2 linked regions of the Stegostoma tigrinum genome follow. The protein of the gene in region 2 purifies or fractionates together with the protein of the main gene of each other region. This does not show direct contact. Links are inferred from orthologs where the notes say so. Each region holds a gene or a part of one and is shown on either strand. Other genes may lie near its edges. The genes, in order: rrs1 and rexo4.

Region 1 (14,255 bases), on a different chromosome or scaffold from region 2:
AAGTCCATTCTGTTTGAGACTTCCTCAAAAAACTCAAGTATATTTAACAGGCATGATCTCCCTTTTATGAAGCTGTGCTGACTCTGTCTGATTGAATTGATTTTCCTAATGTTCTGCTATTGCTTCCTCAATAATAGAATCCAATACTTTTCCAGCAATCGATATTAGGTTAATCAGCCTATAATTACCCACCTTTTGCCTCCCTCCCTTTTTGAAAAGGGCGTCACATGAGCAGTTTAATGTTTGAAACAGCAAAGAGCTGTTTCAAATTGAAGATGGTTCTAATAGTTGTCATTACAGGGAAGACTCGTTCATAAAGATATGACTACAGGTAGGACACATCCTGCTGGTTGAGAAACATTGCTTTAGAATGATTTCAAGATTATGTTTATGGACTCATCATCCAAGCTACTATTACCAATCTGATTTTTTCCTGTTTATGTCTAAACTCACCCAATATTATTGTCATCCCCTTACCATAATCTCCCAACATTTCTTTTTGCGTGCTTTGTTCTACACTGTGGTTATCATCAGGGGATGGTGGGTTGTTGACCAACCCCACTGGTGACTTCCTTCTCCTACTATTCTGTATGTCCACCCAAAGAGATTCTATGTCCTAATTTCCTAAATCAAGTAATCTCTTATTCCTGCACAGATATCATTATTGGTTAACAGAGCTACCCCTCCACCTTTACCTAATACAGGTGATCCTCGATTTACGAATGCAATCTCATACAGGGTTGTATTAATTTTAAAGATCTGTCATACCAACACTTCCTTTGACTTATGAACACCTATTTTATATTGTTCTGCATTGTGTTCTGACATGCACACAAATCAGCTTGTGAACAGACTCAAGAAGAGAACCTATTTGCAAACCAGTTACTGTCTGCATCCTAATCTTCTTGAATGTTAATATTCAAGATACAAGCCTGGTCATTCTGCAGCTACATCGCTTTTTTAGCCAGCAATTCATTGGTTTTTACTTCAACAAGCACAATAAATGTATTTACTTTGTTAGGAACGCTATATACATTGAATTGGAAATTTTAGTTTTGTCTTTGCTACCATTTTTAAAATCTTGATTGTTGGCATATTCCTTTCTTTTCTCTCAATCCCTTCTTGCCATTCTCTGATCCTCATTTCCCACATTACTATTTCCCTTTCTTGTCTTGCCTTTACTATTTGATATACCACATCCCACCAAATTTTATCCCATAACCCCAATAATTTTGTTTAAAACCCTTTCTGTTATTTGGAATGGTCAGAGTACAATTCCTGTATAGGCCATTCCAATGATACAGTGCGCATTCGCCCCAGTACTAGTGTCAATGAACCATGAACCAGAATGCACTTCTCCCACGTAAGTCTTTGAGCTATATATTCATCTCTCTAATTGTATGTACCATATACCAATTTGCACACAGCCCATTTAATAATCCAGAGTTTGTAACCTTTGGGGTCATGATTTTTAAATCTGGTGCCTAGCCTTAGTAATCTCTACAGAGAACATAAGAACACAAGACCTACGATCAGGAGAAGGCAATTCAGCCCATTGAGCCTGCTCCACCATGTGATACGATCATGGCTGATCTCATCTCAGCCTCAACTCCAGATTCCTGCCTGCTGTCTGTAACCCTTCAACCCAATGTTAACAAAAAAATCTACTAATTCCTCAAATTTCCTCAATGTTTCAGCATCCACTGCACTCTTGGGAGCAAATTCCAGATTAATGACCCTCCGAGAGAAGTTATTGCTGTTTTCAAACTGTTATCCCTTATCCTAAAACAATGACCTCTCATTCTATATTGCCCCACATTGCAACTTGCTTTCCCACCAATTTGTGTCGTCTGCAGATTTGGTTATCTTACTTTCTATCCCCACATCCAATTTATTAATATTGATTGTGAATAGTTGGAACCCGGGGACCGAACTCTGTGGCACTCACTAGTTACCTCTTGCCAATTAGAAAAAACCAATTTATCTTGATCGTCTGCTTTCTGTTGGTTAGCCAAACTAGCTGATTCTAATGGATACTTTCAGAGATTGACACTCCTGAACGCCTATGCTGGGTTTTCTTACCTGCCTCACTCAGAGTCAACTCCCTGGCCATTTCCCAAGTCAGAAGACCCCATCACAAATGGCATGACTGCTTCCTGAGAAAAAGAATCAAGGTACCTTCCCCCTTCCTGCTTTAGTGTCCAAAATCTCAGCTATAGTTGCTCAAACTATGGATGGACGTCTCATACATTACTGTTGATCCTTGTCTGCAGCTATACTATTATACTCTGCATTCAATTCTGTTTCCCTGATGTACTTATGATTTGTCTGGTTAGCACACAAAACAACACTTTTCACCAAATCTTGATACATGTGACAATAAGTCAAATGCCCTAGATCACAAGGGTATCCAGGAACTCCCACGTACTGTAGTTTTCACACATCACTTGTCCTATCATTCCTAATGGGTTTTAATTATTTAATTAACCACTTTATTAATTTGATGCGTTACATATTTTAACTTACCGACAATTTGTATGCTATGTTAAATTTTAAGAAAACAGTGGATCTCAACTGTTTACCAGAAACTAACCAACGTTTCTCCCTGTAGTGCAGCGAGACCCCATCGTTACTGCATGGAAAGGGCCCATAACAAACATTTCCTTTCCCATTCACCAAACTTCCCTGTCATTGAGCTCTGAAGATTATACTCATTTTCCATGCCGGCTCAAATGGTCTGCTCTTTCACCTGCTTATAATCCCATTGAGGAAAAAAGTTTGTGTAAATGGTTAACAAGCAAAATGTCAGAAAATTGAAAAGATGTAAACCAGGGAGTCAGGTGTGAAATTAAACAGAACTGTTTTAATTACGTGGACATCGCTACCTTTCTTCTGGTGTGCTGTTAATTTTGAAACAGTATTCCGGCATTTTGTCAGTTTACATTACCTATAGTTCTTAATTTTCCACATGGTATAATTTATAGAAAAGAAAAACTTGCTGCGCTTCAAAATATTTTAACCCCAGACTGCAATTCATGCTTTATAAATATGTTTGACAACCAAAGGATACAATTCAGGAGTAACTGAATTGAAAAGTGAACTGAAAAGTGAACTGAAAATTTCAAGACTTGCCTCATTATCCTTTGGCATTATAAGGGGTTTTACAGTGAATATATTATTTGCATACTCAGCTACACAAGCAATTTGTGTAAAACAAAAATCCCAAACTCCAAATGAGGTACTACAGCGATAAATAAAACAACTTTACAAAAACAGTTGATACGCTATAGTCAAGTTTAGTAACAGGAATACCTTTAGAGTACACGACAGTCTACAGTCAGTACTGGTGAAGACAATTTCTTAAATACTGTCAAAAACAGAAAATGCTGGAAAAGCTCAGTAGGTCTAGCAGAACTTGTGAAATCAGTGTTAACCTTTTGGTCCTGGAGTTCTGAGGAAGTATCAAAGGACCCAAATGTTAACACCAATTTCTCGCCATAGGTGTTGACAGACCAACTGAGCTTTTCCACCAATTTTTGCTTTGGTTTCTAATTTACAGCATTCACAGTTTTTAAAAAAATAATATACTGGTTTTGATCCGATGATATATGCAGGCACTATAGAAATACAAGTTCTTCCTTTCTATTTGTTGGAGATAGAAATCATAACCTATAAACTCATGGACTGGATTTCCAGAGAGAGAGACTATTTTGAGGCTCTGGATTTGAAATGCTAACTTGCTCTGTCTCCATGGATGCTGCCTGACCCACCATGATCTCCAACATTTTATTGTTTCCAGTTACAGATTCCAACATCTGTAGTAATTTGCTCCTTTACTTTGAGGAGAGTTAAAGTTGTCATCTACAAGTATTTTCAAATAACCATAGACATAATTAACCTGAGGACAAAAGGCCACTCCACACTGGAACTGAGCTGCCAACTCACATTGAAAGGTTTGGTGCTTTCCTTACATACTCTACTGTTCCAAAAGATTAACAACATTTAGTTGTGTTGCTAATCATAATGCAGTGTCTTACAACATAAAATAATTTCAATGAATCCCCTTTCAAAGTGGTCAACAGGATTGCTGGCTAGACAATTCTGGTAATGAACTTTCTGCCATACAAACAATTGGCCACAGGTACAATTTAAGCTCTCTCTGCACAAGTCCCATCACATATAGTCACTCAGATGCACATAGCAAAAGAAATACAAAACACTTTATTTTAAGTTCATGAAAAACAAAAAAACTGTCAGAACGCAAGAAATTATCAGGCCACAATTAATAAAGAAACAAAGGTAGGCCCTCTCAAAACTAGAATGTTCTTTAAAATCAAGGAGCACCGTATTTAACAACAGTTCAATATGGCTCATTTTCTCTTTCCTTGCTGCTTCATCCCCGATTTCCGATGCTGACCTTTTCCCCTATTATTTCGATTGTGATTTTTCCCTCCTTTCCTGCCCTTAGGCCGCATTTTCTTTCGTTTTGCCGCCTGCTCCTGATCGTCTTCTCGAAGTTGTCTATTGACAGCCTTCGTGAGATCCAGTTTGGGTTTCTTGCTGGACATAACATTGAGAAGGTCTAGCTGCTTCTGCTTCTCCGCCGAGAAGTCTCCGACGATGGGCTGGAACTTCCTCCTCTTGCCGGTGTTCCTCGCCTCCTGTTCCTTGGGGAGCTTGTCCTGAAACTTGCCAACCGAAGCGGTGGAGGTTCTCGCCACGCGAATGGCTTTGCTGAGCTCGGCTTTGCTCTGTTGCTGGGTGGGGGCCAGACCGACACCGGGCACCTTGTGCTTCTGAGCCCTGGCGATGTTCCGCAGCCTGTTCAGCTCGTTCTTGGCCACTCGCTCTTTCTTAGCCGCGACACGTTTGGCGAACTGATCCTCACTGGGGTCAGCGGACTCGGGTACTTCCAGGACCCACTCTTTGGTCTCATCGTTGGCTCTCTGATAGCCCCAGCGGCGGCGCCACTCTTTCCTGCTCTCGTCCCACACCAAGTTGCTCTTCTTTTTCTTCCGGATGCCCTTCAGTTTGGCGAACTGCTCCCAGCGGGTAGGCGGCCGGGGTTTGGGCACCGCTTTTTCCCGGGGGATGAGGGTACTGGGCGGGGGCAGCAAGGCCACGATCCCCTCCTGGAGCTTCTCGCTCGGCAGCTGCCAGACGGCGTTAAGCAGCAGCTGCGTGTTGTCCCGGGCAAGGGAGCGCAGCCAAGCCTCGGCCTCCTGCCGGCACAAGCTCGAATTGAGCGGGTTGGCATCCAGCGCCGTCAGGTTGCCCAGGTCCAGCTCCAACTCCAGAGGCCGGTCCACCCGGATCAAGCGCTCGGCCTCGGCCACCAGCTCTTCCACCGCCACCGCCATCTTCGCCTTCCGTCACTTCCGCCTCTGCTCATTGGCGTCACTATCTGCGACCGCTCGCCACGTGATCTCCAACAGCCGGAGCAGCAGCAGGCGGGAACCATCAACCCCGCCCACAAATACGTCACATAGACGCCCCACCCCTATCCTCTTCACACCCCCCACGCACCCCCCCCCACACACACCCCCCCCCCCACCCACACCCCCCCCTCCCACACCTTCCCCCCTACCCACACCCCCCTCACACACCCCCCCCCCCACACACACCCTCCCTCCCACCCACACCCCCCCCTCCGACACCCCCCTCCACACCCTCCCCCTCTACTCACACCCCCCCCACACACACCCCCCCCACCCACACCCCCCCTCCCACACCCTCCCCCCTACCCACACCCCCCTCACACGCCCTCCCCCCACCCACACCCCCCCTCCGACACCCCCCCACACCCTCCCTCCTACCCACACACCCCTCCCACACCCTCCCCCCTACCCACACCCCCCTCACACATCCTCCCCACACATCCTCCCCACACCCCCCTCACACACCCTCCCCCCCACCCACACCCCCCCTCCGACACCCCGCTCCCACACCCTCCCCCCTACCCACACCCCCCTCACACACCCTCCTTCCCACCCAAACCCCCCCTCCGACACCCCCTCCCACACCCTCCCCCCTACCCACACCCCCCTCACACACCCTCCACCCACCCACACCTCCCTCACACACCCTCCCCCCCACCCACACCCCCCCCTGACACCCCCCACACCCTCCCTCCTACCCACACCCCCCTCCCACACCCTCCCCCCTACCCACACCCCCCTCACACATCCTCCCCCCACCCACACCCCCCTCACACACCCTCCCCCCCACCGACAACCCCCTCCCACACCCTCACCCCTACCCACACCCCCCCTCCCACACCCTCCCCCCCATCCACACCCCCCCTCCGACACCCCCCCTCCCACACCCTCCCCCCTACCCACACCCCCCTCAAACACCCTCTACCCATCCACACCCCCCTCACACACCCTCCCCCCCACCCACACCCCCCCTCTGACACACACACCCTCACCCACATACCCCCTCACACACCCTCCCCACCACCCCCACACCCCCCTCACACACCCTCCCCCACACCCACACCCTCCCCCACACCCACACCCCCCTCACACACCCTCCCCCACACCCACACCCCCCCACACACCCTCCCCCTCACCCACACCCCCTCACCCACACCCCCCTCACCCACACCCCCTCACATACACCCCCCTTGCCCACACCCCCTCACACACACCCCCCACACACCCTCCCCCAACACACCTCCTCACCCACCCTCCCCCCCACATACACACCCTCACCCACACACCCCCTCACCCACCCTCACCCCACATACACACCCACACCCCCCCAACACACTCCCCCCTCACATACACACCCACACACCCCCTCACCCACCCTCACCCCACATACACTCCCACACTTACCCACACCTCCCCACACCCCCTCACACACTCTCCCCGCACATACACACACCCTCACCCACACACCTTCCCCACACCCCCTCACACACCCTCCCCCCACATACACACCCATACCTCCCAGACACACCTTCCCCACACCCCCTCACACACCCTCCCCACATCCCCTCACACAACTTCCCCACACCCCTCCCCCCACATACACAGACCCCTCCACAGACATACCTCCCACATCTCCCCACCCACACACACACCCTGCCCGCACCCCGTCCCCCCACATACACATACCCCATCAGACAACCCCCACATCCCCCTATCAACGAACACACTCTCCCCATACTCCCTCACACAACCCCCATACACCCCCCATACACACCCTTACCTACACAAATCCCCGCATACCCACATCCACACACATACACACACACACACACACACACACACAGCCTCACACCCATCCCCCACCCACAACCCCTCCCCGAACACATCTTCTCACCCCCTCACACGTCTCCACACAGCCCCACAACTCAACCAACACCCCCCGCTCCCCATACCGCCCTACAACCTCTGCCCTCCATATAGCCCCACATCCACCCCCCACACATACACCTCTACATCCCCTCCCCCGCACACAGTCCCACACCAACCCTCCCCGCACACAACCCCACACCCATTGCCTCATACATGCACAACATCCACTCCGCACACACCTATCTCTTCCTTTGACACAATCTATGTCCTCACACATCCCCAACCCCCCCCCACCCTCATGCACTCCACCTCCCCCACATACACCCCATCCTCCCACATAGAATCCACCCACACCCCTGCACACAACCGCCCTCCCCCCACACGGATCCCCCTCATAGACCCCACCTCCACACCACCCCACTGAACCCACCCTGACACACCCCATCTGCCTCACAATCCCCCTCCCCCCCCACACACCCCCTGTCCACCCTTCCAACTTACCCTCATATACCCCAGCACCTACCCTGACACACCCCAAAGCACCCCACACCAACCACCTCCGCGTACTTCCCTTGGTTTACAACCCATTCCCCACCTCCATCCACCCTCCCACCCCGCACAACCCCTTCCCCTTCCCACATTCATCTCCTACCCTCCACCTACCCCCCCACCAAAACATTCTTAAACGCCTCCTCCCCAAGGCACACACACCCATATTGTACTATCTGTAAACTGCTGTTACTTCAATAAACAATTAGAAAATTGCTCGAAATCATCCACAGCCTACAGTGAGTAACTGTGATCATGAACCCTGACAAACCACCATCTATTCGTAAATCCCAGATAGCTCACAGTTCAGTATGACACACTTTGCAAACACTACTTTGCCAGATTGTAATATACAACAAGATTGTTAATTATTATGGAAAGAAAGCCTCCACTGTTTTGAACCTGGACCTTTGAAATTTACAGAAAACATCCATAAAAATTAATTAGCTGTAAGCAATAAATATTTTATCATTTTAGGTTGAAACTAGCCACATGTACAGACAATAATAGGAGGCATGTAGTAGGGGGCTTCTGAACATGCCTATCTGTTTAGCTCATTCCCAATCTCAGGATTCACACACTCACTCACAGTTAAAGTTTTGTTTTTCTCGGTGTTATTTTATTTGCTAAGGGAAATTGAGTTGTTTATTTTACTGTCAAGGGATGAAAGTGCAGCTTTGTTGTCCATCCCGACTTGTCCCTGACACGTTGGTAATGAACCTCATTATTGAACTGCTGCAGTTTATTTATTGTATGTACTCCCTCAGTTGGGAAGGAGGTTTAATTCAACAATACTGAAGGAACAGGTATCTAATTCCAAACTGTATCAGAGATAATGGGAACTGCAGATGCTGGAGAATCTGAGATAACAAGGTGTGGAGCTGGATGAACACAGCAGGCCAAGCAGCATCTTAGGAGCACAGAAGCTGACGTTTTGTGCCTAGACCCTTCATCAGAAAAGGGGGATGGGGAGAGAATTCTGAAATAAACAGGGAGGTCCGCCTCCCCCTCTCTCCCTATTTATTTCAGAATCCTCTTCCCATCCCCCTTTTCTGATGAAGGGTCTAGGCCCGAAACATCAGCTTTTGTGCTCCTAAGATGCTGCTTGGCCTGCTGTGTTCATCCAGCTCCACACCTTGTTATCTAAGAAAGAGAGAGGTGATTGGTAGCAGTTTAACCTGAGGGACACCACACCCCATGGGAGAGGAGAAACTGAGAATGCGAGTTCTTCATGGTAACCTCAGCCAATGTAGGAACTGAATCCATGCTGATGGTGTCACTCTATTGCAAACTAGCTGCATGGCCAACTTTGCTACAGGGAAGGGATTACTGAAAATATATTTAGAAAAACATAAGAATTAAGAAAAATTTTGAAGAAAGTCACAAGTTATCAGAAACATCCCTCCCATTAATGGGCTTTTCCAAAGTCCTCCTATTTTTAAAAAAATTATACCAATATTATTGTAGTGATATCTTCAATGTTGACCTCTCTGAAAAACTTACTAAATCAATGCCACTATGAAGAAGAGGCTTTTTAAAAATCTTATAATTGATGCATCACAGATTCAATTAATGCACTCCAAGTGATAATCTCTGTTTGTTATGTTATTGTGGTAATAAATAATGCAAAATGTTTGGTTCAGGATGTCTCTGATACCACTGCTTTTAAAAGTTGAAACATGGCAGCAAGAATGAGAAATACTGGCCAGCAATCATTAAATGAAATCAGTTTCGAAACCGTATTGCAGTTTTGAAGCTACAAGGAGACTGATGTGCGCCAGTCTATGTTGATTATAAATGTTCGTGATATCTATGATGCAGTTGCACTTTGCCAACAAATGGTGGAGATAAACCTTTGGTTTTTCGAATCAATGGATAGTTTCAAGGAGGGAATCTGGGCACCAGCTGGTAGCTGATGTGGAAAGAGAGCTGGGGGAGGCCTGGAAATACTGTGAACACACGGAAGCAGGTAGCTGTGGAAGGATGCTTTTCGGAATGGAGAGTTGTGACCAGTGATGTTCCACAGGGATCAGTGCTGGGACTTCTGCTGTTTGTGATCTACATAAATGATTCGGAGGAAAATGTAGCTGGTCTAATTAGTAAGTTTGCAGATTGTACAAACATTAGTGAAGTTGCGGATTGTGAAGAAGGTTGTCGGAGGATACAGCAGTTTATGGACGAGTTGGGGGTGCGGACAGAAAAATGGCCGATGGAGTTTAATCTGGACAAATGTGATGTGATGCATTTTGGAAGGTCGAGTACAGGTGGAAATTAAACAGTGAATGGCAGAACCCTTAGGAGTATTGATACGCAGAGGGATTTGGGTGTGTAGGTCCACAGATCACTGAAGGTAATAAATAAGGGCCTATGGCATGCTTGTTTTCAATGGAAGGGGTGTTGAGTGTGAGGATAGACAAGTTATGCTGCAGTTTTACATAACTTTAGTTAGGCCACACTTGGAATTTTGCATATAGTCTGGTCACTGCATGACCGGGAAGATGTGAAACTTTGGAGAGGGTACAGTAAAGTTTTACCAGAATGTTGCCTGGTAAGGGAGATTTAGCTATGAAGAAGGGTTGGATAGACCGGGTTTGTTTTCACTGGAACACAGCATGTTGTAGTACGACCTGTTGGAGTTTATAAAAATTGTGAATGGCATGGACAGAGTGGAAACTATGAGGGGTGGAGGGGTTAATTACTAGGGGACACAGGTTCAAGGTGTGGAGTGGGGTGCGAAGTTTAAAAGAGATATGCAAGGCAAGTTTTTCACACAAAGGGTGGTGAGTGCCTGAAACGCACTGCCAGAGGAGGTGGTAGAAATAGGGATACAATAGCATCATTCAAGAAGCTGGACCAATACATGAATAGAAAGGAAATAGAGGGATATGGATCCTGTTTTTGTTTCTGATTTACAGCATCTGCAATTCTTTTGGTCTGCACTGTTCTATGTTCTTGTGTTCTGCCAAATTTAGCGGCACCACTATATTATTAGCTTTATACTTCATTGCCTGCCAGATTAGCCAGCTGCTGGGCAGGAAATCCAGGAGTAGGCTGGGGACTGAGAAACTCTGCGGGTGGGTGGAGATGCTCTGACATACGGTGAGTTTTGAATTGAGAAGGAGGGGTGACTGGGATATGTGGTGTTACTGGAGTGTGGGGAGGAGGTGACAGTTTGTTCAGTACAGCAGAAGTTTTGTTTGAGGGGCTGTGGCGTTCTTGTTCTGCCTGGCGCTGCCATGAGTGTGATATAAACCATAAGCTTTTAGATCCGGCAGCCCTCCTGCCCTTTATCTGAGAAGTTCCTGAATGCTTGGAAACCTGAACAACCAGTGTTATAATCAAATGGCTGCCGAAGGAATGGAGCTCCACTTCAAATTAGAAAATCACAAACCCACCCCTTGAGAACGGGTTACTTTACGTGCTTTCAAACTTGCCACTGTTAAATCACCTTAGAATTGGGATAGGGCTGACAGAATTGCCAATGTCACTTGTTATTTGTGATCTTCCCGTGCTAGTTGGAACTGAGCTGGGCAGCACATCATGTTCATGGACAAACCTTGTTATCCCAATAAATGCAACGCCCACTTTAATCGTGGACCCCCCCACCCCACCCCCGCCCCGTGCTGTTGGTTCATCTAGGTGCTGCAAAGGGCTGACAACATCATGAGGAACATTTTTTGTTTCAGGCTGCCTTTGCCTTTCAAACACCTGGTCCCCAGATAAAGGGAAATTGCAGTACTGCACCGCAGATTGTTGGATGATAACATTTCTGTATTGAAGGAGGAAAAAGGAAAGTCCTACTTTAGTGACACCAGTCTGAATGCACCCCATTCGAGGGGTGAAGGCAAGGAAATAAGCCAGGGATGGGAAATGTCCATAGCAAGCCCTATATGGAACAGGAATTTGTGGACAGGGTGATTGAGAATGTTACTCCTAGGACACTGTGAAAAGACCTCACCTGGGTGGTTGAAGCACTTGGATGGTCTTGTACATTGCATCTCAAACATGCCCCTCTCAGCACCCAAGATAATCTATCCCAGCACTTTATTTTACTCATCGATGAGATGTGAGCATCCCTGGCTGGCCCATTCCTAATTGCCCCAAATGGCAGTTAAGAGTCAACCATATTGCTGTGGGTCTGGAGTCACACACAGGCCCGACTAGATAAGGATGGCAGATATCCTTCTCTAAAGAACATGAGTGGGTCAGATGGGTTTTTCCTGACAATCAGCAAAGATTTGATTTTAATTATTGTCAGCTGTATTTATTACAAATACAGTGAAAAGCATTATTTACCGTTGCCACTCTCAGGTGCCTTTTCAAAACACAGAAAATAATCCAAAACACGGAATATAAAGCCAGAAAAATAAAACAATAACGTTCATCTTATGTTTTAATCTCAGAAAGTTTGATGGCCTTTGGAACAGCTCCTACTTCTAGCTCAGCAATGGGCCTGGATTTGGTTTCCTCCATGCCGATACCTCGAGTCCCTACTGCTAAACCGGTGACGGTGCTGTAACTGCGCTTCACCACATCGCCACCTGCGGAACAAACACTCGCCACTGTCCGCTACCATCTCGCCTCCACCAACTCTACTGCTGCCATGTGTTCATGCTGGGCTGGATCTTGCCAATGCAACTGCTGTCGGTATTGCAGGGCCCTGTACTGGAACCAAACTGTTGCCACATCCGCCATCGGGCACCTGGGCCTGGCTGTGGACCTGAAGCCTTGTCTCATCCTGCAAGCCAAGACCAAGGGGATTAAGCTTGTGACCTGCTCCTCACTCACCGGGAAACAGCGGGCTGGGTGGAGCTGTGCCCATCTTGTCCTGGCATTGCTGCGGCCACCACCAGATGCCTCCTCCTTCAACATTTACCTGGCCTCGCCTCTCCTTGGGCCTGTGCTGCCATCTTCGCCCACCATTCTGGACAAGGCCCACTCTTGCCGATGCTGCTACAACCGAGTTGAAAAGTTAAGAGAAAAGGCATAGAGTCATTGAGATACACAGCACTGAAACAGACCTTTTGGTCCAACTCCTCCAAACCGACCAGAAATCCTAAATAAATCTAGTCCCATTTGCCAATATTTGGCCCATATCCCTCAAACCCTTCCTATTCATATACCCCTCTAGATGCCTTTTAAATGTTGTAACTGTACCCGCCTCCACTACTTTTTCTGGCAACTCATTCCATTACGGGCACCATCTTCCATGTAAAATGTTGCCCCTCATGTCCCTTTTAAATCTTTCCCCTCTCACTTTAAACCTAAGCCCTTTATCTTTGGACTTCCCCACCTTGAGGAAAAGACCTTGTATATTTACCCTATCCATGACCCTCATGATTTTATAAACCTCTTTGAGGTCACCCCTCAGCCTCCTGATGTTCCAACAAAAATGGACTTCAAAGAAAAAAGGAAAAAAGCAAAAGTGAGAGAAAAAAAGGAAACCATACTGAAGCTTGAACACTGCAGCTCTGCTGTTTCCATCTTGTGTTTCATGGTTATCATTAAACACTTTTCTCCTCTCTCAGAGAGAACTAGCTCTAACATTCTTATTCCAAACCTCATCCACATACGCCTCCAATCATGACAATTGTACTCATATCTCTACGTACCTCTGTAAATTATTTGTTATGTCGAGCATATCATCCATAGTGATTATCGAAACCCTTTCACAGGTAGTCTCTCTCTATCTCTCTTACAGATGGCAAGAATCCCTAGGACTGTCGCAGGGGCCATACATCGATGTATTCCTTCAGCACCCTGGAGTAGATGGTCCTTAGAATTATTGACAATAATGCCACAGCACTAATGGCAGTTGGTGAAGGCAAGGCCGATGAGAATATGCAATCTCCTCCATTTATTCTTCAATCTTGTGCTGAAAGGTGACATGAAACAGAAATTGCAGGTGGAGTGAATGTGGATTTCTTGCATTGCTCCATGCCCTCCCTTCAGTAACCTGTGATCACCCCAGCACTTCTAGATACTGTAGTTGGGAATTCCTACCTGGTCAGCCACTAGAGCCTTAAAATGGAGGGCAAAGGCAAGAACAGACCACTGATGCAGGGACGCCATTATTTGACCTTACTCTTCAAACAGCCAGCACACACAGTGGCATCGTGTGCACCTCAGAATAGGGTCAGGATCTGGATACGGTGAGTAATTGGGCAGAGATAGGGTGCAGCCAGCAAAAATTGGCTCGTGTGCAAACTTCCTGAACAGTGAAGTCAATCCTATTGCAGTGGACTCAGACGAGGACATCATTGGATTGAACAACACTGATGACACTGTGTGTTGAGATTCTTGGCACTTTGGCAGGTCAGTCACTCTCCAATCACAAGCGGAGAGAATGCAGGAGTCTAGCTCCACAGTGGAAGTGATAAAAGCCTTTTGGGAGAACTT
Region 2 (14,320 bases):
GAGGGTGAGGGTGAGGGTGTGGGTGAGGGTGTGGGTGAGGGTGTGGGTGAGGGTGAGGGTGAGGGTGAGGGTGTGGGTGTGGGTGTGGGTGAGGGTGTGGGTGTGGGTGAGGGTGAGGGTTTGGGTGAGGGTGAGGGTGAGGGTGAGGGTGTGGGTGAGGGTGAGGGTGAGGGTGTGGGTGAGGGTGTGGCTGAGGGTGAGGGTGAGGGTGTGGGTGAGGGTGTGGCTGAGGGTGAGGGTGTGGGTGAGGGTGTGGCTGAGGGTGAGGATGTGGGTGTGGGTGAGGGTGAGGGTGAGGGTGAGGTTGAGGGTGAGGGTGAGGGTGAGGGTGAGGGTGTGGGTGAGGGTCAGGTTGAGGGTGAGGGTGAGGGTGAGGTTGAGGGTGAGGGTGAGGGTGAGGGTGAGGGTGAGGGTGTGGGTGAGGGTGAGGGTCAGGTTGAGGGTGAGGGTGAGGGTGAGGTTGAGGGTGAGGGTGTGGGTGAGGGTCAGGTTGAGGGTGAGGGTGAGGGTGAGGGTGAGGGTCAGGTTGAGGGTGTGGGTGAGGGTGAGGGTGTGGGTGTGGGTGAGGGTGAGGGTCAGGTTGAGGGTGAGGGTGAGGGTGAGGGTGAGGGTCAGGTTGAGGGTGAGGGTGAGGTTGAGGTTGAGGGTGAGGGGGTTGCTGGTCTCCATGGAGACCGTGTCCTACGTGAGGCCCAATCGGTGAAGGTGGGAAGAGACGGTAAAGCAGCGAATGACGTTTCAGTGCCAGCTGAAGACAACAACAACTTACGTCGCGGCTGAGCGAGTCCTCGATCTCTTTGTACTCGAGCTGGTAGTTGGCGTCAGGGCCTCGAAGCCAAGCCAGTGCCTCGATGGCTTCAGTATCGCGGCGTTTGGAGATTAAATGGCGAGGAGACTCTGGCATGTACCACATGAGGGTGATCATGACCACGGGGATAAAGGCGCCAACTACTGCCAGCCATCGCCAGGACAGCACCAGGGCTGATGGGTGACAAGGATTCTGTGTTAAATGGACTTCATTCACCAACATCTTCCCCCAATTATCTCCACACATTGACCCGACTTGGACCATCAAGCCACTCCCTCCACATTCCCTCCAATCCCAAGGGATGAGCCCTTTTGCCCAGTCACTCAGACTCTGCTGCTTTGCAGACGTTGCTGTGCTAACACACACTTGGTACGGGGTGTTGCAGCCGGGAACTTTTCTGGAAGATGTTCGAGTACTCTCCATCCCAGAGCTAACTGGGAACCTCACTGCAATAGAACCAAATGACTTCTCATTGATCCCTCAACCCCTTTGGTCGCTTGATGATGACCAGCCACTTGAAGGGCCGAATGGCTCAGTCCTGCTCCTGTGTTCCAGTACGGACTAACAGGCCAATGTGATGGTCAGTCCCTGGCCAGGTCGGCCCGAGAGCGGACCTCCTGGCTACAGCCGGGAAAGATCTTCCTCAGTGCCATTGTACAGAATTGGACCGCAACAAGTAGATTCCCAATCTGTGGAATTCCTCACCCAGTGCGTACAGCAGGAGCGTTCCAAGCACAAGCATGATCTGGGGTCCAACTCCCATCCTCCCTCTCATCTTGGCCACGGAGATCTCCGCAATGTATATCTGCAGGACAGGAATGTAACTCGTCAGTACCTGCCGGGCAGCGACATGGCCAGGATCGGGCTCCGGTCTCCAAGCAAACCCACAGCTGCAGGTCGGTCCTGCTGCTGCAATTGCTAAAGCAGCACAATTGGGAGACGCCACGTTCACCTGCACCACCTTCAACTTACTCAGACTGAGAGTTCCAGAGGTTCCCTGGGACCTGGGGGAACGTATTCCGTGCTCCCTCAGCACTGACCCTCCGACAGTGCCCGCTCCCTCAGCACTGACCCTCCGACAGTGCCCGCTCCCTCAGCACTGACCCTCCGACAGTACCCGCTCCCTCAGCACTGACCCTCCGACAGCCCGCTCCCTCAGCACTGACCCTCCGACAGCGCCCGCTCCCTCAGCACTGACCCTCCGACAGCGCCCGCTCCCTCAGCACTGACCCTCCGACAGTGCCCGCTCGCTCAGCACTGACCCTCCGACAGTGCCCGCTCCCTCAGCACTGACCCTCCGACAGCGCCCGCTACCTCAGCACTGACCCTCCGACAGCGCCCGCTCCCTCAGCACTGACCCTCCGACAGCGCCCGCTCCCTCAGCACTGGCCCTCCGACAGTACCTCCTCCCTCAGCACTGACCATCCAATAGTGCCCGCTCCCCCAGCACTGACCCTCCGACAGTGCCCGCTCCCTCAGCACTGACCCTCCAACAATGCGGCGCTCCCTCAGCACTGACCCTCCGACAGTGCCCGGTCCCTCAGCACTGACTGTCCGACAGTGCCCAGTCACTCAGTACTGACCCTCCGACAGTGCGGCAGGCCCTCAGCACTGACCATCCGACAGTGCCCAGTCACTCAGCACTGCCCCTCCCACACTACCTCATCCCTCAGCACTGACCATCCAATAGTGCCCGCTCCCTCAGCACTGACCCTCCGACAGCACCTGCTCCCTCAGCAGTGACCCTCCGATAGTGCGGCACTTCCTCAGCACTGACCCTCCAATAGTGCCCGCTCCCCCAGCACTGACCCTCCGACAGTGCCCGCTCCCCCAGAACTGACCCTCCGACAGTGCCCGCTCCCTCAGCACTGACCCTCCGACAGTGCTGCGCTCCCTCACCACTGACCCTCCGACAGTGAGGCACTCCCTCAGCACTGACTCTCTGACAGTGCCCGCTCCCTCAGCACTGACCCTCCGACAGTGCGGCGCTCCCTCAGCACTGACCCTTCGACAGCGCCCGCTCCCTCAGCACTGACCCTCAGACAGCGCCCACTTCCTCAGCATTGACCCTCCGACAGCAACCGCTCCCTCAGCACTGACCCTCCGACAGCGCCCGCTCCCCCAGCACTGACCCTCCGACAGTGCCCACTCCCTCAGCACTCACCCTCCGACAGTGAGGCACTCCCTCACTACTGACCCTCCGACAGTGCCCACTCCCTCACCACTGACCACCCGACAGCGCCCACTCCCTCAGCACTGACCCTCCAACAGTGCCCACCCCCGCAGTACTGACCCTCCGACAGTGCGGCAGTCCCTCAGCACTGACCGTCCGACAGTGCCCAGTCACTCAGCACTGACCCTCCACACTACCTCCTCCCTCAGGACTGACCATCCAATAGTGCCCGCTCCCTCAGCACTGACCCTCCGACAGCCCATGCTCCCTCAGCACTGACCCTCCGACAGTGCGGCACTTCCTCAGCACTGACCATCCGATAGTGCCCGCTCCCCCAGCACTGACCCTCCGACAGTGCCCGCTCCCTCAGCACTGACCCTCCAACAGTGCGGTGCTCCCTCAGCACTGACCCTCCGACAGTGAGGCACGCCCTCACTACTGACCTTCCGACAGTGCCCACTCCCTCTGCACAGACCCTCCGACGGTGCCCGCTCCCCCAGCACTGACCCTCCGACAGTGCCCGCTCCCCCAGCACTGACCCTCCGACAGTGCCCGCTCCCTCAGCACTGACCCTCCGACAGTGAGGCACGCCCTCACTACTGACCCTCCGACAGTGCCCACTCCCACTGCACAGACCCTCCGACGGTGCCCGGTCCCCCAGCACTGACCCTCCGACAGTGCCCACTCCCCCAGCACTGACCCTCCGACAGTGCCCGCTCCCTCAGCACTGACCTCCAACAGTGCGCTGCTCCCTCAGCACTGGCCCTCCGACAGTGAGGCACTCCCTCACTACTGCCCCTCGACAGTGCCCACTTCCTCAGCACTGACCCTCCGACAGCACCCGCTCCCTCAGCACTGACCCTCCGACAGTACCCGCTCCCTCAGCACTCACCCTCCAACAATGCCCACTCCCTCAGTACTGACCCTCCGACAGTGCGGCGCTCCCTCAGCACTGACCCTGCGACAGTGAGGCAGTCCCTCAGCACTGACCGTCCGACAGTGCCCAGTCACTCAGCACTGACCCTCCCACAGTACCTCCTCCCTCAGCACTGACCATCCAACGGTGCCCGCTCCCCAGCACTGACCCTCCAACAATGCGGCGCTCCCTCAGCACTGACCCTCCGACAGTGCCCACTCCCTCAGCACTGACCCTCCGACAGCGCCCACTCCCTCAGCACTGACCCTCCGACAGCGCCCACTCCCTCAGCACTAACCCTCCGACAGTGCGGCACTTCCTCAGCACTGACCCTCCGACAGCGCCCGCTCCCTCAACACTGACCCTCCGACAGCGCCCGCTCCCTCAGCACTGACCATCCATTAGTGCCCGCTCGCCCAGCACTGACCCTCCGACAGTGCCCGCTCCCTCAGCACTGAAACTCCGACAGTGAGGCACGCCCTCACTACTGACCCTCCAACAGTGCCCACTCCCTCACGACTGATGCTCCGACAGCCCCCAGTCCCTCAGAACTGACCCTCCGACAGCGCCCACTCCCTCAGCAATGAGCCTCCGACAGTGCCCGCTCCCTCAGCACTGACCCTCCGATAGTGCGGCACTCCATCAGCACTCACCCTCCGACAGTGAGGCACTCCCTCACTACTGACCCTCCGACAGTGCCCACTACCTCACCACTGACCACCCGACAGCGCCCACTCTCTCAGCACTGACCCTCCGACAGTGCGGCGCTCCCTCAGCACTCACCCTCCGACAGTGAGGCACTCCCTCACTACTGACCCTCCGACAGTGCCCACTCCCTCACCACTGACCACCCGACAGCGCCCATTCCCTCAGCACTGACCCTCCAACAGTGCCCACTCCCTCAGTACTGACCCTCCGACAGCGCCCGCTCCCTCAGCACTGACCGTCCGACAGTGCCCAGTCACTCAGCACTGACCCTCCACACTACCTCCTCGCTCAGCACTGACCATCCAATAGTGCCCGCTCCCTCAGCACTGACACTCCGACAGCGCCCGCTCCCTCAGCACTGACACTCCGACAGCGCCCGCTCCCTCAGCACTGACCCTCCGACAGCGCCCGCTCCCTCACTACTGACCCTCCGACAGTGCCCACTCCCTCACCACTGACCACCCGACAGCGCCCATTCCCTCAGCACTGACACTCCGACAGCGCCCGCTCCCTCAGCACTGACCCTCCGACAGCGCCCGCTCCCTCAGCACTGACCCTCAGACAGTGCCCGCTCCCTCAGCACTGACCCTCCGACAGCGCCCACTTCCTCAGCACTGACCCTCCGACAGCCCCCGCTCCCTCAGCACTGACCCTCCGACAGTGCCCGCTCCCTCAGCACTGACCCTCCGACAGCACCCACTTCCTCAGCACTGACCCTCCGACAGCACCCGCTCCCTCAGCACTGACCCTCCGACAGCGCCCGCTCCCTCAGCACTGACCCTCCGACAGTGCCCACTCCCTCAGCACTGACCCTCCGACAGTGCGGCACTTCCTCAGCACTGACACTCCAATAGTACCCGCTCCCCCAGCACTGACACTCCGACAGTGCCCGCTCCCTCAGCACTGACCCTCCAACAGTGCGGTGCTCCCTCAGCACTGACCCTCCGACAGTGAGGCATGCCCTCACTACTGACCCTCCGACAGTGCACACTCCCACTGCACAGACCCTCCGACAGTGCCCGCTCCCCAAGCACCGACCCTCCAACAGTGCCCACTCCCTCAGCACTGACTCTCCAACAGTGCCCACTTCCTCAGCACTGACCCTCCGACAGCACCCGCTCCCTCAGCACTGACCCTCCGACAGTACCCGCTCCCTCAGCACTGACCCTCCGACAGCGCCCGCTCCCTCAGCACTGACCCTCCGACAGTACCCGCTCCCTCAGCACTCACCCTCCAACAATGCCCACTCCCTCAGTACTGACCCTCCGACAGTGCGGTGCTCCCTCAGCACTGACCCTCCGACAGTGAGGCACGCCCTCACGACTGACCTTCCGACAGTGCCCACTCCCTCTGCACAGACCCACCGACGGTGCCCGCTCCCCCAGCACTGACCCTCTGACAGTGCCCGCTCCCTCAGCGCTGACCCTCCAAAGGTGCCCGCTCCCAAAGCACTGACCCTCCGACAGTGCCCGATCCCTCGGCACTGACCCTCCGACAGTGCCCGCTCCCTCAGCACTGACCCTCAGACAGCGCCCACTTCCTCAGCACTGACCCTCCGACAGCACCCGCTCCCTCAGCACTGACCCTCCGACAGCGCCCGCTCCCTCACCACTGACCCTCCGACAGTGCCCGCTCCCTCAGCACTGACCCTCCGACAGCACCCGCTCCCTCAGCACTGACCCTCAGACAGTGCCCACTTCCTCAGCACTGACCCTCCGACAGCACCCGTTCCCTCAGCACTGACCCTCCGACAGCGCCCGCTCCCACAGCACTGACCCTCCGACAGCGCCCGCTCCCTCAGCACTGACCCTCAGACAGTGCAGCACTCCCTCAGCACTGACCCTCCGACAGCGCCCGCTCCCTCAGCACTGACCCTCCGACAGCGCCCACTCCCTCAGCACTAACCCTCAAACAGTGCCTGCTCCCTCAGCACTGACCCTCCGACAGTGCCCGCTACCTCAGCACTAACCCTCCGACAGCGCCCGCTCCCACAGCACTGACCCTCCGACAGCGCCCACTCCCTCAGCACTAACCCTCAAACAGTGCCCGCTCCCTCAGCACTGACCCTCAGACAGTGCAGCACTCCCTCAGCACTGACCCTCCTACAGTGCCCTCTCCCTCAGCACTGACCATCCAATAGTGCCCGCTCCCCCAGCACTGACCCTCCGACAGTGCCCGCTCCCTCAGCACTGACCCTCCAATAGTGCCTGCTCCCCCAGCTCTGACCCTCCGACAGTGCCCACTCCCTCAGCACTGACCCTCCAACAGTGCAGCACTCCCTCAGCACTGACCCTCCGACAGTGAGGCACGCCCTCACTACTGACTCTCCGACAGTGCCCACTCCCTCACTACTGACGCTCCGACAGCCCCCAGTCCCTCAGAACTGACCCTCCGACAGTGCCCACTCCCTCAGCAATGAGCCTCCGATAGCGCGGTACTTCCTCAGCACTGACCCTCCGACAGCGCCCGCTCCCTCAGCACTGACCATCCAATAGTGCCTGCTCCCCCAGCAATGACCCTCCGACAGTGCCCTCTCCCTCAGCACTGACCATCCAATAGTGCCTGCTCCCTCAGCACTGACCCTCCGACAGCGCCCGCTCCCTCAGCACTGACCCTCCGACAGCGCCCGCTCCCTCAGCACTGACCCTCAGACAGTGCAGCACTCCCTCAGCACTGACCCTCCGACAGTGCCCGCTCCCTCAGCACTGACCCTCCGACAGTGCGGCACTTCCTCAGCACTGACCCTCCAACAGTGCCCACTCCCTCAGTACTGACCCTCCGACAGTGCGGCGCTCCCTCAGCACTGACCCTGCGACAGTGAGGCAGTCCCTCAGCACTGACCGTTCGACTGTGCCCAGTCACTCAGCACTGGCCCTCCGACAGCGTCCGTGCCCTCAGCACTGACCCTCCGACAGTGCCCGCTCCCTCAGCACTGACCCTCCGACAGCGCCCACTTCCTCAGCACTGACCCTCCGACAGCGCCCGCTCCCTCACCACTGACCCTCCGACAGTGCCCGCTCCCTCAGCACTGACCCTCCGACAGCGCCCACTCCCTCAGCACTAACCTTCAAACAGTGCCCGCTCCCTCAGCACTGACCCTCCGACAGCGCCCACTCCCTCAGCACTAACCTTCAAACAGTGCCCGCTCCCTCAGCACTGACCCTCAGACAGTGCAGCACTCCCTCAGCACTGACCCTCCTACAGTGCCCTCTCCCTCAGCACTGACCCTCCTACAGTGCCCTCTCCCTCAGCACTGACCATCCAATAGTGCCCGCTCCCCCAGCACTGACCCTCCGACAGTGCCCGCTCCCTCAGCACTGACCATCCAATAGTGCCTGCTCCCCCAGCACTGACCCTCCGACAGTGCGGCGCTCCCTCACTACTGACCCTCCGACAGTGCCCACTCCCTCACTACTGACGCTCCGACGGCCCCCAGTCCCTCAGAACTGACCCTCCGACAGTGCCCACTCCCTCAGCAATGAGCCTCCGATAGCCCGGTACTTCCTCAGCACTGACCCTCCGACAGCGCCCGCTACCTCAGCACTAACCCTCCGACAGCGCCCGCTCCCTCAGCACTGACCCTCCGACAGCGCCCACTCCCTCAGCACTAACCCTCAAACAGTGCCCGCTCCCTCAGCACTGACCCTCAGACAGTGCAGCACTCCCTCAGCACTGACCCTCCTACAGTGCCCTCTCCCTCAGCACTGACCATCCAATAGTGCCCGCTCCCCCAGCACTGACCCTCCGACAGCGCCCGCTCCCTCAGCACTGACCCTCCGACAGTGCCTGCTCCCTCCGCACTGACCCTCCGACAGTGCCCGCTCCCTCCGCACTGACCCTCCGACAGCGCCCGCTCCCTCAGCACTGACCCTCAGACAGCGCCCACTTCCTCAGCACTGACCCTCCGACAGCACCCGCTCCCTCAGCACTGACCCTCCGACAGCGCCCGCTCCCTCACCACTGACCCTCCGACAGTGCCCGCTCCCTCAGCACTGACCCTCCGACAGCGCCCTCTCCCTCAGCACTGACCCTCCGACAGCACCCGCTCCCTCAGCACTGACCCTCCGACAGCGCCCGCTCCCTCAGCACTGACCCTCAGACAGTGCAGCACTCCCTCAGCACTGACCCTCCGATAGTGCGGCACTCCCTCAGCACTGACCCTCCGACAGTGCCCACTCCCTCAGCAATGAGCCTCCGATAGCGCGGTACTTCCTCAGCACTGACCCTCCGACAGCGCCCGCTCCCTCAGCACTGACCCTCCGACAGTGCCCGCTCCCTCCGCACTGACCGTCCGACAGTGCCCGCTCCCTCAGCACTGACCCTCCGACAGCGCCCGCTCCCTCAGCACTGACCCTCCGACAGCGCCCGCTCCCTCAGCACTGACCCTCAGACAGCGCCCACTTCCTCAGCACTGACCCTCCGACAGCACCCGCTCCCTCAGCACTGACCCTCCAACAGCGCCCGCTCCCTCAGCACTGACCCTCAGACAGTGCAGCACTCCCTCAGCACTGACCCTCCGACAGTGCCCGCTCCCTCAGCACTGACCCTCCGACAGTGCGGCACTTCCTCAGCACTGACCCTCCAACAGTGCCCACTCCCTCAGTACTGACCCTCCGACAGTGCGGCGCTCCCTCAGCACTGACCCTGCGACAGTGAGGCAGTCCCTCAGCACTGACCGTCCGACTGTGCCCAGTCACTCAGCACTGACCCTCCGACAGCGTCCGTGCCCTCAGCACTGACCCTCCGACAGTGCCCGCTCCCTCAGCACTGACCCTCCGACTGCGCCCGCACCCTCAGCACTGACCCTCCGACAGTGCCTGCTCCCTCAGCACTGACCCTCCGACAGTGCCCGCTACCTCAGCACTAACCCTCCGACAGCGCCCGCTCCCTCAGCACTGACCCTCCGACAGCGCCCACTCCCTCAGCACTAACCTTCAAACAGTGCCCGCTCCCTCAGCACTGACCCTCCTACAGTGCCCTCTCCCTCAGCACTGACCATCCAATAGTGCCCGCTCCCCCAGCACTGACCCTCCGACAGTGCCCGCTCCCTCAGCACTGACCATCCAATAGTGCCTGCTCCCCCAGCACTGACCCTCCGACAGTGCGGCGCTCCCTCACTACTGACCCTCCGACAGTGCCCGCTCCCTCAGCACTGACCCTCCGACAGTGCCCACTCCCTCAGCAATGAGCCTCCGATAGCCCGGTACTTCCTCAGCACTGACCCTCCGACAGCGCCCGCTCCCTCAGCACTGACCCTCCGACAGTGCCCGCTCCCTCAGCACTGACCCTCCGACAGTGCGGCACTTCCTCAGCACTGACCCTCCAACAGTGCCCACTCCCTCAGCACTGACCCTCAGACAGTGCAGCACTCCCTCAGCACTGACCCTCCGACAGTGCCCGCTCCCTCAGCACTGACCCTCCGACAGTGCGGCACTTCCTCAGCACTGACCCTCCAACAGTGCCCACTCCCTCAGTACTGACCCTCCGACAGTGCGGCGCTCCCTCAGCACTGACCCTGCGACAGTGAGGCAGTCCCTCAGCACTGACCGTCCGACTGTGCCCAGTCACTCAGCACTGACCCTCCGACAGCGTCCGTGCCCTCAGCACTGACCCTCCGACAGTGCCCGCTCCCTCAGCACTGACCCTCCGACTGCGTCCGCACCCTCAGCACTGACCCACCGACAGTGAGGCACTCCCTCACTACTGACCCTCCGACAGCCCCCACTCCCTCACTACTGACCCACCGACAGTGCCCACTCCCTCAGCACTAACCCTCCGACAGTGCCCACTCCCACAGCACTGACCCTCCAAAGGTGCCTGCTCCCAAAGCACTGACCCTCCGACAGTGCCCAATCCCTCAGCACTGACCCTCCGACAGTGCCCGCTCTCCCAGCACTGAACCTCCGACAGTGCCCTCTCCCTCAGCACTGAACCTCCAACAGTGCGGCGCTCCCTCAGCACTGACCCTCCGACAGTGATGCACGCCCTCACTACTGACCCTCCAACAGTGCCCACTCCCTCACTGCTGACGCTCCGACAGCCCCCAGTCCCTCAGAACTGACCCTCCGACAGCGCCCACTCCCTCAGCAATGAGCCACCGATAGTGCGGTACTTCCTCAGCACTGACCCTCCGACAGCGCCCGCTCCCTCAACACTGACCCGCCGACAGCGCCCGCTCCCTCAGCACTGACCCTTCGACAGTGCAAACTCCCTCAGCACTGACCCTGCGACAGCGCCCACTCCCTCAGCACTGACCCTCCGACAGTGCCCGCACCCTCAGCACTGAACCTCCGACAGCGCCCACTCCCTCAGCACTGACCCTCCGACAGTGCCCGCACCCTCAGCACTGACCCTCCGACAGTGCCCGCACCCTCAGCACTGACCCTCCGACAGTGTCCGCTCCCGCAGCACTGACCCTCAGACAGCGCCCTCTTCCTCAGCACTGACCCTCCGACAGCAACCGCACCCTCAGCACTGACCCTCCGACAGCGCCTGCTCCCTCAGCACTGACCCTCCGACAGTGCCCCCTCCCTCAGCACTAACCCGCCAACAGTGCCCCCTCCCTCACACTGACCCTCCGACAGTGCCCCCTCCCTCAGCACTGACCCTCCGACAGTGCCCGCTCCCTCAGCACTGACCCTCCGACAGCGCCCGCTCCCTCAGCACTGACCCTCCGACAGCGCCCGCTCCCTTAGCACTGACCCTCAGACAGCGCCCACTTCCGCAGCACTGACCCTCCGACAGCGCCCGCTCCCTCAGCACTGACCCTCCGACAGTGCCCGCTCCCTCCGCACTGACCCTCCGACAGTGCCCGCTCCCTCCGCACTGACCCTCCGACAGCGCCCGCTCCCTCAGCACTGACCCTCCGACAGTGCGGCACTTCCTCAGCACTGACCCTCCAACAGTGCCCACTCCCTCAGTACTGACCCTCCGACAGTGCGGCGCTCCCTCAGCACTGACCCTGCGACAGTGAGGCAGTCCCTCAGCACTGACCGTCCGACTGTGCCCAGTCACTCAGCACTGACCCTTCGACAGCGTCCGTGCCCTCAGCACTGACCCTCCGACAGTGCCCGCTCCCTCAGCACTGACCCTCCGACAGTGCCTGCTCCCTCAGCACTGACCCACCGACAGTGAGGCACTCCCTCACTACTGACCCTCCGACAGCCCCCACTCCCTCACTACTGACCCACCGACAGCGCCCACTCCCTCAGCACTAACCCTCCGACAGTGCCCACTCCCACAGCACTGAACCTCCGACAGTGCCCTCTCCCTCAGCACTGACCCTCCGACAGTGCGGCGCTCCCTCAGCACTGACCCTCCGACAGTGAGGCACGCCCTCACTACTGACCCTCCAACAGTGCCCACTCCCTCACTGCTGACGCTCCGACAGCCCCCAGTCCCTCAGCACTGGCCCTCCGACAGCGCCCGCTCCCACAGCACTGACCCTTCGATAGTGCCCACTCACTCAGCACTGACCCTCCGACAGTGCGGCACTTCCTCAGCACTGACCCTCCAACAGTGCACACTCCCTCAGTACTGACCCTCCGACAGTGCGGCGCTCCCTCAGCACTGACCCTCCGACAGTGAGGCAGTCCCTCAGCACTGACCGTCCGACTGTGCCCAGTCACTCAGCACTGACCCTCCGACAGCGCCCGCTCCCTGAGCACTGACCCTCCGACAGCGCCCGCTCCCTCAGCACTGACCCTCAGACAGCGCCCACTTCCTCAGCACTGACCCTCCGACAGCACCCACTCCCTCAGCACTGACCCTCCGACAGCGCCCGCTCCCTCAGCACTGACCCTCAGACAGTGCAGCACTCCCTCAGCACTGACCCTCCGATAGTGCGGCACTCCCTCAGCACTGATCCTCCGACATCGCCCACTCCCTCAGCACTAACCCTCAAACAGTGCCCGCTCCCTCAGCACTGACCCTCCGACAGTGCCCTCTCCCTCAGCACTGACCATCCAATATTCCCCTCTCCCCCAGCACTGACCCTCCGACAGTGCCCGCTCCCTCAGCACTGACCCTCCGACAGTGCCCTCTCCCTCAGCACTGACCATCCAATAGTGCCTGCTCCCCCAGCAATGACCCTCCGACAGTGCCCTCTCCCTCAGCACTGACCATCCAATAGTGCCTGCTCCCTCAGCACTGACCCTCCGACAGCGCCCGCTCCCTCAGCACTGACCCTCCGACAGCGCCCGCTCCCTCAGCACTGACCCTCAGACAGTGCAGCACTCCCTCAGCACTGACCCTCCGACAGTGCCCGCTCCCTCAGCACTGACCCTCCGACAGTGCGGCACTTCCTCAGCACTGACCCTCCAACAGTGCCCACTCCCTCAGTACTGACCCTCCGACAGTGCGGCGCTCCCTCAGCACTGACCCTGCGACAGTGAGGCAGTCCCTCAGCACTGACCGTTCGACTGTGCCCAGTCACTCAGCACTGGCCCTCCGACAGCGTCCGTGCCCTCAGCACTGACCCTCCGACAGTGCCCGCTCCCTCAGCACTGACCCTCCGACAGCGCCCACTTCCTCAGCACTGACCCTCCGACAGCGCCCGCTCCCTCACCACTGACCCTCCGACAGTGCCCGCTCCCTCAGCACTGACCCTCCGACAGCGCCCACTCCCTCAGCACTAACCTTCAAACAGTGCCAGCTCCCTCAGCACTGACCCTCCGACAGCGCCCACTCCCTCAGCACTAACCTTCAAACAGTGCCCGCTCCCTCAGCACTGACCCTCAGACAGTGCAGCACTCCCTCAGCACTGACCCTCCTACAGTGCCCTCTCCCTCAGCACTGACCCTCCTACAGTGCCCTCTCCCTCAGCACTGACCATCCAATAGTGCCCGCTCCCCCAGCACTGACCCTCCGACAGTGCCCGCTCCCTCAGCACTGACCATCCAATAGTGCCTGCTCCCCCAGCACTGACCCTCCGACAGTGCGGCGCTCCCTCACTACTGACCCTCCGACAGTGCCCACTCCCTCACTACTGACGCTCCGACGGCCCCCAGTCCCTCAGAACTGACCCTCCGACAGTGCCCACTCCCTCAGCAATGAGCCTCCGATAGCCCGGTACTTCCTCAGCACTGACCCTCCGACAGCGCCCGCTACCTCAGCACTAACCCTCCGACAGCGCCCGCTCCCTCAGCACTGACCCTCCGACAGCGCCCACTCCCTCAGCACTAACCCTCAAACAGTGCCCGCTCCCTCAGCACTGACCCTCAGACAGTGCAGCACTCCCTCAGCACTGACCCTCCTACAGTGCCCTCTCCCTCAGCACTGACCATCCAATAGTGCCCGCTCCCCCAGCACTGACCCTCCGACAGCGCCCGCTCCCTCAGCACTGACCCTCCGACAGTGCCTGCTCCCTCCGCACTGACCCTCCGACAGTGCCCGCTCCCTCCGCACTGACCCTCCGACAGCGCCCGCTCCCTCAGCACTGACCCTCAGACAGCGCCCACTTCCTCAGCACTGACCCTCCGACAGCACCCGCTCCCTCAGCACTGACCCTCCGACAGCGCCCGCTCCCTCACCACTGACCCTCCGACAGTGCCCGCTCCCTCAGCACTGACCCTCCGACAGCGCCCTCTCCCTCAGCACTGACCCTCCGACAGCACCCGCTCCCTCAGCACTGACCCTCAGACAGCGCCCACTTCCTCAGCACTGACCCTCCGACAGCACCCGTTCCCTCAGCACTGACCCTCCGACAGCGCCCGCT

The links.
Region 1: the proteins of rexo4 (region 2) and rrs1 purify together in Homo sapiens (co-immunoprecipitation; 3 studies listed by BioGRID and IntAct, with this or other methods). This does not show direct contact. The link is inferred for Stegostoma tigrinum from reciprocal best matches to the Homo sapiens genes REXO4 and RRS1.

What each region holds. Positions count from the first base shown.
Region 1 is NC_081358.1:31,721,552-31,735,806, forward strand, and holds rrs1 (ribosome biogenesis regulatory protein homolog), read right to left. Parts: upstream 5,457-14,255; 5' UTR 5,361-5,456; coding exon 4,371-5,360; 3' UTR 2,844-4,370; downstream 1-2,843. UniProt on the Homo sapiens protein: Involved in ribosomal large subunit assembly. May regulate the localization of the 5S RNP/5S ribonucleoprotein particle to the nucleolus.
Region 2 is NC_081382.1:43,856,968-43,871,287, forward strand, and holds the start of rexo4 (RNA exonuclease 4), read right to left. Parts: upstream 7,663-14,320; 5' UTR 7,607-7,662; intron 7,559-7,606; exon of another isoform or gene 7,511-7,558; intron 5,230-7,510; exon of another isoform or gene 5,193-5,229; intron 1,887-5,192; exon of another isoform or gene 1,849-1,886; intron 1,614-1,848; coding exon of another isoform or gene 1,514-1,613; intron 982-1,513; coding exon of another isoform or gene 770-981; intron 1-769.